Caenorhabditis elegans: one gene and its partners. The protein of the gene in region 1 interacts with the protein of each later gene in a pairwise test. Each region holds a gene or a part of one and is shown on either strand. Other genes may lie near its edges.

Evidence for each region.
Region 2: the proteins of eif-6 (region 1) and unc-10 interact in a two-hybrid assay, tested with the Caenorhabditis elegans proteins (one large-scale study listed by BioGRID).
Region 3: the proteins of eif-6 (region 1) and cla-1 interact in a two-hybrid assay, tested with the Caenorhabditis elegans proteins (one large-scale study listed by BioGRID).

What each region holds. Positions count from the first base shown.
Region 1 is NC_003279.8:12,967,148-12,970,858, forward strand, and holds eif-6 (Eukaryotic translation initiation factor 6), read left to right. Parts: upstream 1-1,798; 5' UTR 1,799-1,812; coding exon 1,813-2,085; intron 2,086-2,134; coding exon 2,135-2,242; intron 2,243-2,515; coding exon 2,516-2,875; 3' UTR 2,876-3,088; downstream 3,089-3,711. Other genes in the region: pbs-2 (Proteasome subunit beta), read right to left, coding at 241-495, 554-1,132. UniProt on the Caenorhabditis elegans protein: Binds to the 60S ribosomal subunit and prevents its association with the 40S ribosomal subunit to form the 80S initiation complex in the cytoplasm. May also be involved in ribosome biogenesis. Involved in miRNA-mediated gene silencing.
Region 2 is NC_003284.9:7,277,314-7,282,318, forward strand, and holds the start of unc-10 (Rab-3-interacting molecule unc-10), read right to left. Parts: upstream 3,010-5,005; 5' UTR 2,989-3,009; coding exon 2,920-2,988; intron 2,771-2,919; exon of another isoform or gene 2,632-2,770; intron 2,587-2,631; coding exon 2,537-2,586; intron 2,478-2,536; coding exon 2,344-2,477; intron 2,290-2,343; exon of another isoform or gene 2,205-2,289; intron 2,165-2,204; coding exon 2,094-2,164; intron 1,680-2,093; coding exon 1,492-1,679; intron 1,379-1,491; coding exon 1,042-1,378; intron 985-1,041; coding exon 840-984; intron 731-839; coding exon 642-730; intron 435-641; coding exon 379-434; intron 332-378; coding exon 150-331; intron 91-149; coding exon 1-90. UniProt on the Caenorhabditis elegans protein: Regulates the efficiency of a post-docking step of the release pathway. Acts after vesicle docking likely via regulating priming. May regulate the conformational changes in syntaxin.
Region 3 is NC_003282.8:7,608,652-7,613,679, reverse strand, and holds the start of cla-1 (Protein clarinet), read right to left. Parts: upstream 3,001-5,028; coding exon 2,918-3,000; intron 2,845-2,917; coding exon 2,783-2,844; intron 2,405-2,782; coding exon 2,336-2,404; intron 2,242-2,335; coding exon 1,928-2,241; intron 1,038-1,927; coding exon 993-1,037; intron 721-992; coding exon 671-720; intron 626-670; coding exon 578-625; intron 458-577; coding exon 41-457; intron 1-40. UniProt on the Caenorhabditis elegans protein: Required for synapse development in the active zone of presynaptic terminals of specific neurons including serotonergic NSM neurons.

The DNA of each region.
Region 1 (3,711 bases):
TGAAAGCGTTTTTCAAGTCATTTTTCCGGCTTTCAGTCCAAATTAAGACAACAAACAATACCAGTTTTAAGGAAAATAGACAGTTTATATTCGGAATTTATAAAACAAATGTGATAAGAACTGCCGGCGGATACGAAAATACCGAAAAAAGTAATCACCGACGACACCGAAACGGATGGAAAATCGAAAAAAAATAAATAATTGGGGGAAAGAATACACACATCGACAGAAGACCGCAATTTAGTGAGTGATATCCATGGACTCGACGACGTCGTACTTGTAGGTCTTGTGTTTCAGCACCTTGGTGGCTCCGGCCTGGAATTTGTAGACGAGGTCGTTGGGCTCTGGTCGCTTGCAGAATTCTGGCACAATTGGCCCCTTGAAGACGGTCTCGCTTGGCTCGATGATCACAAGATTCAAACTGTTTCCTGAGGCGTTGTCACCGTGCATACCGGCTTCCAGGGCGCGTTGGACAAGCTTCTCGGCTTCATCTTTCTGAAAAATATAATTATAGTATTTTTAGCGCATTGGAATTCAAAAATAGACTACTTACCGTCATATCAACCTTAAAATCACGCTCCAAAATAGTGATAGCTGCATATGATCCAGATCCTTGAGCTGTGAATGGGAAGGCCATTGTAGTTCCGTTGGCGGAGCACATATAAAGATGTGGGCCAGTTGGATCGACTCCTCCAATGAGCAAGTAGGCTCCGATGTATCCTTGATAGTTGAAAAGATGCTGCTTAGCTTGACGAAGAGCGGTGATCACACGAGCCTTGCGCCCGGTGTTTAATTCCAGAAGACGGAGATTTCCAGAGAGCATCTTTGTGACTTGATCGAGATCGGCGGCGGTTCCGGCTCCGCAGGCATAGATCGACTCAGTGAGCTTGTGAACCTTCTCGCAATGCTTATCGGCGATGATATTTCCGGCGGTGGCACGGGAATCAGCTCCCATCACAAGTCCGCCCTTGAAGGCAACGGCGACGATGGTGGTTCCGGTACTGGTGAGCTTTGGAGCCTTTCCGCCCATCTTGCACATTGCCTGATTACGAATGCAGTTGGAGAAGTCGAACGCGCCTCCACGGTCCATGTCCATGTGTGGGACGGTGGATTTGACGTCAGCGGTGGCCATTCTGGAATTAATGTTGTATTTGAAAAGATCTCACAAAACATTTTGAGAAAAAAAAACAATAAAAATGACAGGAAAAATACGGAAAACCATCTAGAAAAAACTGATTAACGAAAAACTTCGATTTCCCTGATTTCTGCTGTCTCACAAGTGATTTTCTGCAGATAACCTATTCAATAGCGAACTTCCACTTAATTTCTACAAATTTTTAATCAAAAATACGCTAGAAAAGCAGGAAAAATGGTGGAAAACTTCGAAAAATGTTGGAATGCTGACAAAAAGATTTTTCAAAGTCATCGCAACGACACTCCGAAATAACGCAAATTTGTAGAGTTCCGTGGAGCGTGTTTGCACCAAAAAATTTCCGTTAATTTTATTTTATTTTTCAATTGAAAATCTCTGCCTAAAACTTTTAATCTTAAGTTTTTCATTGACTTTTTGAGTTTTAAAATTCAAAAATTGAATTTTTCGTTCATTTTTAAGTAATTTCATATAAAACTGCCTATAGAAAATGAAAATTCCCTGTTATTCAATATTGCACAACATTTCGAAGCTCCGCCCATTTGTAGTTTGTATTTGTCTTGCTAACACCCATTCTTTCTCGTTTTTCCAATCAATTTTTACTATTTTCTCGATATTAAATCAATTAATTTTCAAAAAAAATTCCAGTTTCCCGGTTGAAAATGGCTCTCCGCGTCGATTACGAAGGATCGAACGATGTCGGTGTGTTCTGCACCCTCACCAACAGCTACTGCCTCGTCGGCGTCGGTGGCACTCAGAACTTTTACAGTATTTTGGAGGCCGAGCTCAGCGATCTCATCCCAGTCGTGCACACGTCGATCGCCTCGACCAGAATTGTCGGAAGACTTACAGTCGGAAATCGTCACGGACTTCTCGTACCAAACGCCACGACTGATCAGGAGCTTCAACACTTGAGAAACTCGCTTCCAGATGAGGTATGCGGGCAGGAAATTGAGAATAAATATTTAAAATTTGAATTTTCAGGTCGCAATTCGCAGAGTTGACGAGCGTCTTTCCGCTTTGGGAAATGTTATCGCTTGTAACGACCACGTCGCTATTGTTCACGCAGAAATTAGCGCAGAAACTGAGCAGGTAAGGAGAAATCCTACAGAACTGCGACTTTCAGTGTGATATTCCCACTTTTTTAATCGAAAGTTAGTAAAGAATCGTCGAAAAATGTTCGATTGTTCTGAAAATGATATTTATTTTTTGTTCAAAAGTTCGAAAAAGACCCAAACTTTAGTCGGAAACGGACAATTTTCATAACTTTCTTATTAATTTTTGATTCAAATGCTTGGCTTAACATACTGAAATTAACAATGTTCACACTACAAACTACAAAAATTCCTAAATTTTCTCTTTCAGGCGCTCGTCGAAGTGCTCAAAGTGGAAGTATTCCGTGTCAGTCTCGCCCAAAACTCGCTCGTCGGCAGCTACTGCATTCTCAGCTCTAACGGTTGCCTCGTGGCCGCCCGTACTCCACCAGAGACCCAACGAGAAATCGCCGCTCTCCTTCAAATCCCAGTCGTCGCCGGAACATGCAACCGAGGATCCGAGCTCATCGGAGCCGGTATGGTCGTCAACGATTGGGTCGCATTTTGTGGACTCGACTCCACTTCTACCGAACTGTCCGTCGTCGAATCGATCTTCAAGCTCGGCGAGCAAGGAGCTCCGACAAGCATCAGCAATCAGCTCAGAGATACTCTGATTGAGAGCATGCTCTAATCTTTTTTCTCACTATTTTTTTGATCTACCATTCATTGTTTTCCCACCTTTTTTGTTGTTGGTTTCCCCGTTTTTTGTTGTCAATGAAAAAACCCCTGAAAAATTCGAATTTTTCTCTCTTAATTCCTTCTTTGATGTCAAATCCTCACAAATTTATACCTTGAATTTCACTTTTAAAAGTACTTTTTACACGCTATAAATTTAATTTTCGCTTGATTTCAGAAGAACACACATCAACTAAACCTACTAGGTGAGTTGGACTCCACTACAAACTACACACAAAACCCTGTAGCCTGAACCAAAAGAAATCTGCCTAATTTATAGAGTCCGACGTAGCGAAAAAGATCACGAGAGAGATAGTACGAGACGCTGAGAAAATGCGCGATCACATTGCCTTAAAGGAGTACAGTGTAGTGATAAGGAGAACTATTCTTATCACTACTAATACCCCAATTTTTTTCAGAACTTTCCGTTTCAAAGTTTATTTCGATTTCTTTTTATTTGATTTTTATTCCAGTTTTTTGGCGTAAAAACTGGAATTTTGACTGAAAAACTGCAATTTTTGTAGATTTTTAGTGCTTATATATTTTTGGAATTCGACCTTTCAGCTGCTTTTGGCAATTTTTACCTGTTTTATTTGAAATTTTAGCACGAAAAACTTAATTTAGGCGAAAAATACTCAAAAATGTGCTGAAAAATAGCATAAAACCTAAAATTATGCGTTTTTCGTATGAACGAAACCCGTAAATTTCCGTCGAAAACTGTCAGTTTTGGAGTTTGTTTTGATGAAATTGTGAGGATTAAAAAACTGAAAATTTTAATTTTTAAAAGGGAAA
Region 2 (5,005 bases), on another chromosome or scaffold:
GATTTTTCACCCGGTTCAAATGGTCGTCAGTAGAAGGACATGCTCGCACGCCTTGCGTGTTGGACTGACTCTGTGAAGAGTTGTTCCGCTCTGAAATTGATTCTCAAAATAGAATTTAGCAAGGTATTATCGATATGATATCATCTTACGTTTCTTAGATTCGAAGTTTGACGAACTTGCATAATCCTCCTCTGTTACCCGGCTGACTGTGTTTTTTCTAAGATTTCGGTTGTTTTGGTTCTGATTCTGATTATTTTGTTGTGAGCCCTGTTGCATTTGGCCATCAAATTGTCTTTGGTCATTCTCGGAATTTCCAGTGTAGAACGTGGGTCTGAAAGCAAGTGGGTATCAAGTTTTTAAACTTTATGGGATACTTACCGCTGGTTCATGCCATCATCCTCAACGTGATTGTATTTGTTCATGGGCGTAGTTTGCTAAATTAGAAACAATTTCGTTTTTTTTTTCATTTTAATATATTTTTCTACTCTGAACTTTGTACGACAGTACTGTAATTCTGACCAAATTTTCCGCTCTAGATGATTCTTCACATTTGTTCATTACTTTTACAGAAGTATCACCCTAATAATAAGCTGCTCAATCTTTTTTCAAAAGCTCGTTTTTGATATCCCTGATCCCTTCACCTCTAATGACGGCTGCCTATTGAACATTCCTCCTTGCCCGTTAGTATTCTCTCTCATTCTGTTGTTATCCGTCCGTTGTTCATTCATTTCTGAAATTATCCAGACTATATCAATTTGCGTCTCGTTCGCAATTTTAGCGCACAACACTTTTTTGTTTTGTTTTTCACTTTCTCTTTTTATACCCCTGGAGGCTCTTACGTTGATGATGCTGCTCTTGTTGTCCATGTTGATTATGGTGTTGATGTGCCGCGCCTACGTTGTTTTGATACTGACTGGGCTGCTGTTGAGGCGTTTGTTTCATAGTTCGAGAGTCATTTGTCCTTTGTTGGTTTTGGGGGCCAGTCTGAATTATTTACATGTAGAATTTGAAATAATCGTGGAACTTTCCAACTTCAAGTACCTGGTTTCTCTGGTTTTGAGTCATATTCTGATTGTGGCTCTGTTGTTGATTTTGGTTTTGATTCATCTGATTTATCTGATTTGCCTGATTTTGACTCATTGGCTGTTGTTGCATAGCTCTTCGATTATTCTGTTGATGATTGTTGGCTCCTTGATGATTATTTTGAACATGATTTTGATTTTGATGCGGGTTCTGCATTTGATTCTGATTGTGGTTTTGATTTGGATGTTGATTTGAATTTTGGTTCTGATTCATGAAATTCTGCTGAGTTTGATTATGATTTGGCTGCATTCCCATTCCACGGGGTTGTTGGTTGTTTTGATAATTTGGAGTGTTCCTGAAAATATGAAAATTAGTCTGAATTGTGATTGATTGAAACTAACGCTTCAAAGGAACATGTAACAATCAAACACAAACTTGGAAAAGTAAAAGAAACCGGAAGAAACTCACATTTTATCAGGCGGCTCTGCTCGCCTCTGCTGCGGTTCTGGTACGTTGTCGTCAGTTAGTGGTTGGGGCGAAGGGCTTGGCTCGGAGCCGCTAATTTTCGGCTGCGGCTGCTCTTCGGGTTGGAACCATTTGCCTGTTTTGGCAAGAATTTGTTGACGTTTCTGGCACAACGAACAAGCCCAGATTGCCTGAAAGCTTTTTACTTCTTCTCTTCAATTCACTTCTCTACTTTTTTATCGGTCGGTGCACCCACGGGGCTAATACTTTCTATTTATCTCTTTATTCCAAACTACTTTGCAAACAATGGATGCTATTGTTTTTCAGCTTCTGTCGTATTTTTTTAGATGTAAAAACGATTATTTCGCTTGATTTCCAAATTAGATTCATTAACTATAAAATTAAACATGATTTTATAATAAATTGTAAAGTTTAGATTTTTTTTGTGAAAATATAAACATTGCAACATCATATCGCAAAAATGTTCAAGTCGATTTTGCTCAAATTGGTTTTTATTCTGTTATTCAAATGCAGTCATCCAGAATTTGTCCTTTCTCTTTCATGTTTCCCCTTATTTCATCCCACACTTTCACTCCCGCTCGTACCTTATTTTTGCTCTGTGCTCTACCTCCACATCTGGCGCAGCTACGCAATTGACAATAAAAGCACTTGTGGCCTGAAAAACCTCTCATCTTGTGCTAAATTGATGTCCTTTTAGAGAGACGATGACAGCCAAGGGTTAGGGGCTCTCTGACGCCGCGGAGAGAATTACTAGGAACAGAAAACGAGGCTCATCTCAGGGCGACAGAAGGACCCTTTGCTCTCATCGCTTCTTCAGGAAAAGGAACAACGTACCAATTCCGTCCGCAAATTTGGTCTTCTGACAGATTTGACAGATCGCGTCATCTTGTGTGCCAACCAGCTTTTTCGATGTTTCTTTCCGCTCCGTGATCTGTTTGTCTAACTCTGACAATTCTTCAGATGCTTTTCTGGAAAATCATTCGCATGAAGAAATACCAATGCAATTATGTGTCTACAAAACTCTTACTGTGATATTTGTGTTTCTTTTGCCTCCTCATCTTTTTGTCGTTTGAAGACCTGCAAAAAACATAAATCATGAGCGTTCTGAGTGAGTATTCTCTATATGTATGTGCACGCATGATATCATGCCAATTTTCTTGTCGAATGTACATAAGAGCACACACTCGTTTGATTGCATATCCATTATTTTGCGTGTGCTCACGGCGTTGTAAGTAATACCCCTCCCCTTTTCTCGCTCTTTCACCCCTCGGGGGGCCCGTCATGCTCCGAGACAGAGGACTCACACCGCACCAACTACTTTTTTGAACCCCACAAGAAGCAGACGGATGGGCAAAATGAACGATGGGGGGGGGGGGGGGGGGGGAGGGGGTTCGTGCTGGAACAACTCACATTTTCTATTATTTCACGTTCTTCTGCAGATAAATGGGATAAATCCGGCATCATCGACGGATCGTCCATGATTATATTTAATGAGGCACTGAAGTTTGATTTTTAAGGTAATAAGGAGTTATTGCATCATGTGAAATCATAGCGTATAAAAAGACTAAAGCGCGATAACAATCCGAATAGAAAGAATAGAAACGAATTTGTTCGGTTTAAGAGTTGTATGTCAATAAAGGCCAACAAGAAAACAGGATCAACGCTGAAACAAAAAAAGAACAGCGTCAAAGATGGGGAAACCGAGAGAGGAAAAATAAGAGCGTCCGGGATTAGAAACGTTGAAAAATGACGCCTTTTCCAAGACATGAGCGCCCAGTAAGACTGGATGTGGTCATTTTCGACGACGACGTCGATGAATACCGTGGGAAACTCGGGACATCCAAAAATAGTCTTCCTCTTCTTTTCTTTACTGCTATCAAGAACTTTTTGCAAAAAAGAGAAAGAGAGCACTAAAACGGGAAAGGAATAAGAAATAAGCGTAGGAGGTGGGGAAGTGGGAAGCGAAGGAAAACGGGAAAAGAAAAGGAATAGAAGGGTGATGGATATTGGGTTCGCCAGGTTTCGCCATAAAAAAAGGCCAACCATGGACAGGTAAAGGTTCAAGCTGATGTTTGAATTGACAAAAAATGGACAGCTTGTGCAAAGTGGACAAAAGCATGTAAGAATAAAAAGCAAAATTCGATGCAAGATTAATGATGCACAAAAGGAGACATTCATTTGAGACAATGAATTCATGCTCGTTTCCCTGAGCACGGAAAAAAGACAAGGTTTGAAGATAGGGGTGGGGGGAGCCTCCCGTATCCGTAAGGAAAGAGAAAGAGGGCGAAAGGAAAAACGGAGGTGAAACGGGAGGAAAAGAAAAAAGACAAGGCGCGCCCAGGAGGAAAACCCGGGCGAATGCGATATAAGCAATGAATAAAACAAGGCCACGGATAGCGAATAGTTCATGTTTTACTCAGAGCTCTTCTAATAAATAAATGGATGTGTGTAGATGGGAGGGAGGGGTTTAGGACTCGGGGGCTAGCGGCGTGTGGCGACTGATGCGCAAACGCAGGGTGGAGAAAACGACGAAGGGATGGAGCAACGCCCGCAAAACACAAAAATGCTCCAAAGGCTCTACCCTTCTTTTCTCCCCCAACCAGTCTTCTCTCCCTTTCCATCCCGAGATGGCTCTATGTGGCGTTTGTGCCAAACGTTGACAATTAGCAACTCAGCGGGCAGCTTATCCAATATGCTCAAGATTGCCAAGTTTTGTTCTTTCTTCGTTGGAGGGCCTCCACACATACACACACATACACACGCAGGCCTCAGCCTCAAATTGGATTATCTGTTCATGAATGCATAGCAAAGAGAAGTATAAAACGACAGAAAAAGAAGACGAAGGAGGTGAGGACAGGGGACAGACAAACAGGGAACAGGACGAGGGATCACCTTTCCAAAAAGTTCACGCCCCTTCAATGCCCTTTCAGATACGTTCAGAATTCCTACTAGGACTATGAAGTAACTAATTATTAAAACTCACAGCAAAAGCAAAACATTTTTGTTCAACAATCGAACAAACTTTTCAAAAAAAGAGAATATTAAACATTCGCAACACTTATATATCCATATCCATATATATATATATATATACTATTTTCCTATTCCATCGGCTGGATTTCTAAATGTGTTATATGAAAAGAGTTTTCACGATTTGAAGATTAGATTAACTATGAGAAGATATATAAAAGGCGGACAAAATCCGTTATGAATCAATTCATATAGCTGACAAGAAACAGAATTAACAAACTTCTAGATGGGTAAATGTGATGTTTCAAAGATAAAGATTACCTTTTGGAAGTGCATTAATACTTTTCAGATTTGTTATATATCAGAGACATTTGAGAGTTCTTGTTTATTAGCGGAACGCTATCGGAACGAATTTCAAAGTTATGAATGTGAAAACGTAGTACGGTTTTCTTGAGGACAAAACTGTTTCTGAACCTAAAAATAAGGCATTCAAATCACATTTCATCAAATTGGACAAAGTTTGAAA
Region 3 (5,028 bases), on another chromosome or scaffold:
TAATCTTAAAATTTTGGTGTCTCATTGTCGGCTAACTAACCTTGGTGGCATTGGTGGTGGGCCTCTTGCAATGGGTTTTCGCACATTCTGCATATCAGCTTCTGCCATAACTGCCATAATTTTCATTCTTTCATCATCTGACAAATCATCGAGTCCAGGTGGTAATTCGGACATTATACTTGAACTCATAACACTGGGAGATCTTGTTGGAATTTGACTTGAAGGAGGAGGGAAACGTGCGCCCATCTCCATTTCTGCATTTGCCATAACTGACATGATCTTTTCTCTTTCTGCTTCCGAAAGATCCTCCATTCCTGCTGGAATATTTGATGAACCACTTGTGCTTGGTTTTACATTATTAACAGAATCGTCAAAGTCGGCTGCAGCCATAACTGACATGATTTGTCGACGTTCTTCTTCGGAAAGACCATCCATCGGAATACCGATTTGTGGAGAGCTGTAATTTCAAAATTAACCATTTAGGAAATGAAAATCAAAAGAAAAAAGAAGAGGGGAGGTAGAAAAGTGTACGTGCGGGGAGTAATCTGATATACTGGGAATGTTTTATGTTACTTACGGAATAGATTTGGTTGGAGCACTGGTGCCTAGGGAGGTTGAGGATTTGCTGAAATTGTTTTTTTTATAGTTGACTTGACAAAATATCAATTACCTGCTAGAGAAGACATTGTTGTTGACAATATTTGATGATGAAGAGGATGGCTGAAAAGTTTTTATTATTTTGAGGTTATTTAATTTATTTCAAAAAAATTAATTTACAGAAGTAATGTTTAAAAACATTAGCCGTTTTGTGAATTAGTTAATTGTTTGTTTATAATATTAATACCAAAAGCAGTTTCTCAAAAAAAAGTAATCAATCAAGTGAAAAACTCGTGAGCGTTTAGTCATGAGATCTAGATCAAAATCGTGTTACCATAATTGAATTGGGTCGGAAGCCCTACGGAAAGAGAATAAAAAGAAAAAAGTTCACTCACCTTGATGGGTACGGCGGCTTGGATTTGCGAACCCGCTTCCTTTGCCTGCAAAAAGAGCAATTATCGAAAGTGACAAGGAGAGAAGAGCACACGCATGTCTTCTCGCAAAAAATTAATGAGGCATGGGGGTCCCCCGAGCCGAATCCTAAAGTGTTTCTTTTTGTTGCACACCCTACATTTATGCATAAGCGACACATACAACAAAACATAAAAAAGTGGAAAATAGACCAAAACGATGGGTACATCTTTTGGAATGGTGTATGTGTGACCGCTAAAAAAAAAAAAGAAAAAAGGAAGAACAAATGATTGTATAGTGTTTGTTGGATGAGGGAACAACACATTTGCGTTATTTTGGAAAGACCGGAAAGTCGAATTCCGTGAGTAACGAGCCCATCGTAGCTGCTCTTGGAGAGTCAAAGACACTGCGAAATTGGTTTTGTATACTGACATTGAAATGGTTTTTTTTTTTTGAAAATGAATTCATGTAATATATAAATTTGTGTGTATAAAAAACTACTCATATTCTCAAAATGTTGCATGTAAAAGTTAGTTATTTTTAAGAAAAAATGCTGATTGAAGAGTTTCTTAGATGTTAACATAATTTCTATGTTTTTTTTCTAGAAAACAGTAAATTTGAATATAACAGAAAAAAACAAATTGTTGCAACATAATATGTTCTACATTATTGGAAAATCATTTCAAATATCCATACCAAATATCATAATAAAACCTGTCAAACAATTTTGGACAATTATTTATTTTCAGTCAAACAGCTCTAAAAAAAATAACAATTTCTATAGTGACTGAAAATATTTTGAATAGCTTCGCGCATTTACAGTTTCAAAAACGTAGTCTTTTGAGTTTTAGTTTTTTGTTCATGGTCTTTTTTCAAACGGTGAAGTCTGATAGGTCATAGTGAATATTCAATTACTTACCTTATTAATAGCATCATTTGCAATATTAGAAAGGAAGCCGAAATTGGGTCGCTTCAACATACGACTACCCGGCAGTGAATCGATGGGTGTCTGCTGCGCCCTCAACGACTCTTCTCTCTGCGTCTCAAATCCATCATCAAAAGCCTCACGACTACTACTCTTCGTCTTCTCCTCCTCTTCGTAGTTCTCCAGTTTTTGCTGCTCCACGGCGTCGTCACCATATTTTCTCTTTTCCCCTTCACCAATCGATCTTCCGGTGCCAAAGAAGGCAGAAGAAGTGGTGGGCTCATGGTGTTGGCTCTCTACGTCAATACCTGCAAATATATGTTTTTTTGCTTTGAGATTTGGTCTCTTCGTCTCGCTTTTTGATTTGTGCTATGAATTTTTCATTTTTGACAGAAAACTCACCTTCAAGGAAGTGAAGTTGATCCTCAACATACTCCAATGGGAACTCTTCAACGTCAGTTCGAATTTCATCTGAAATTTCAAAAATAAAAAAGTAAATAGAGAAGAAAAATGTAATATTTGTATTACATAGGTCTAATGAAATTATATTCAGTCATTTCTTTTATTTGGACGTTTTTCTGAGTCAAAAACAGAGTGGATAGTGGAAAATTTTGAAAGTTCAGATAAAAGTCTGCTGATTGCAATTAGAATTGTTTTTTGTAGAATTAAGAATTAATTAAACACTCTTGTAAAATATTTTTGATAACATTTTATCTAGCTTTTGCTTTCTTTGCTGTAGAAATTCTCTTGTCGAGTAGAATTTGTTTTAGCAAATTATACTAGGTAGGTGAGTAGGCCTCTGTGTACCTACACTGAAGCGCATAAAAGTTTTTTTTTTAAACCACTTACGCCCCACATCTTCTTCCTCATCGTGGATCGATTGTCGCATGAAACTGAGTTGCTCCTCATACCTGAACAAAATAGTAAAATTGAAACACTAATTTTCAAAAAGAAAAAAAAAGGTTTATTAAAAATTCAGCATACCACTTTCCGATATCCGACTCGGACTCTTGCCTAATCTCTGATATACTTCTAATGTCGTATTCACTACTCTTCCGTGACGCCATCGAATCTGCTGATGGCGTCGGAGACACAGTCTGAAAATCATAAAATCCTGTTGGATAGTAGTGTTTAGTAGTCAAAAAAGGGGAAAAGTTGAAAATCTGGGAGTTGTCACGCTATCTGCATAATATTTAATGACACCGTTGCATTGCCACGGCATGCATAGCAACATGGTGAATGTGAAAAAAAAGTATTTATGGCTGGGAAAATAGAAACAGCTCGCACACAAAAAACAACGTCTATTTCTCACCTTCTGAGCCATAATAGGACCCTGGGGCTCTTCAGTTGTGTCAAGTGCAGCAGGAGATGTAACTCGATCTGGAGAGAAGCCGCTCGTTAGCACTTGAGCATTGTTGTTATCGAAGGAGCCGCTGGCGCCTGAACTTGCATCTTCTTGTTCATCGAATATATCAGCACCTGATGTTGCATCTGATCCACTTTCTGTTATTGGTTCTTCTTCTTCATCTTGAACTGGTTCAGCAGTGAATGGAGTGTTATAATCCATATCAGCCATCTCAGCAATTCTTGCAATATGGTCAAGCTCTTCTTGAGTGAGATCTTGCTCAAAGTGTTTAGAAGGAGGAGGAGGAGGTGGAGTCAACGAAACCTTATGAGTAATCGATCTTTGGGTGGCAGGAAGTTGGACATCTTGTGCAGCCATTGCAGTAATCTTTGCTATATGATCAAGTTCCTCTTGAGTTAGTTCTGGTGGTTCGAATATTTTTACAGGAACATCATATTCTGCTGATGCCATTTCAGCTATGCGAGCAATATGATCAAGTTCTTCCTGAGTAAGTGATGTCTCGGATGGTTTTCCTGTTGGAGGTGGTAGAGTACTGATGTCCATAGATGCCATTCCTGTGATCTTAGCGATATGATCAAGTTCTTCTTGAGTAAGTTCAGATTCAACTGGAGCAGGATGTTCAGAAACAATTGAAGGATACATTCCAAAGTCTTCATTTGCCATTGCAGCTATTCGAGTAATGTGATCTATTTCTTCTTGGGAGAGCTCCGGTTCATTTTGTTTAACTTGAGGAGTTGGTAGAGTTTGTAGATCAGTGTTATCTTCAGTAGCCATAGCTGTTATTCTTGCAATGTGATCAATTTCTTCTTGCGATAGAGTTGGTTCTTCAACATGATAATTAATTGGCACTGGCATTGTCGCAACTCGTTGCTCTTGTTGGATAAAGGGAGATGGCGCATTTAAATCTTCGGAAGCCATCGCCTCGATCCTTGCAATATGTTCTTTTTCTTCTTCCGTTAGTTCTATTTCAATTTGCTGTGTTGGATGTGTTGAAACGTATGGTGTATTAAAATCTTCTTCAGCCATTGCAGCGATTCTGGAAATATGTTCACGCTCTTCTTCAGAAAGTTCAATTTCAGACGGCTGCGCAAACACTGGAGTAGCTGTCGAAGCTGGGAATCTATCAATTGCACCATCGTCCCTACTATAATTTTCATCATAAATTGGCGCGACAGCTCCTTTAACAGGATGTGTAAAGTCCTCGTCAGCCATTGCAGCTATTCGAGCAATGTGATCCATTTCTTCCATTGAAAGTTCAATATCTTTTTGGATAATTGAAGGAGGAGGAACAATGATTTTAGATTGTGAATCATCCGCTGCCATAGCCTCAATACGAGCGATATGATCTTTCTCTGCTTGTGACAATCCTTGATTCATATTAACTGCGGGTTGTTCAAAGTCTTCCGCTGCCATAGCATTAATTCTGGCAATGTGATCTATTTCATCTTGTGTGAGCTCTTGCTTAGATTCTTGCTGAGCACTTTCAGTAGCCTGTGCAATGTTATCTAGCTCTTCTTGGGTTAGACCACTAAGAGATTGCTTTGATTGATTTTGAACGTTCTTTATCACAGAATCTGTAGCATGCATGACCGACTGGGTAGCTTTTCCGAAGAAATTCTTTAGTCCAAATGTAGATTTTGGTTTAGACTGTTCATCGAGAATCTCTTCATCCATCTTCTCTGCCATTAATGACATTTGTCGAATATGTTCCTTCTCTTCCGTAGTGAGC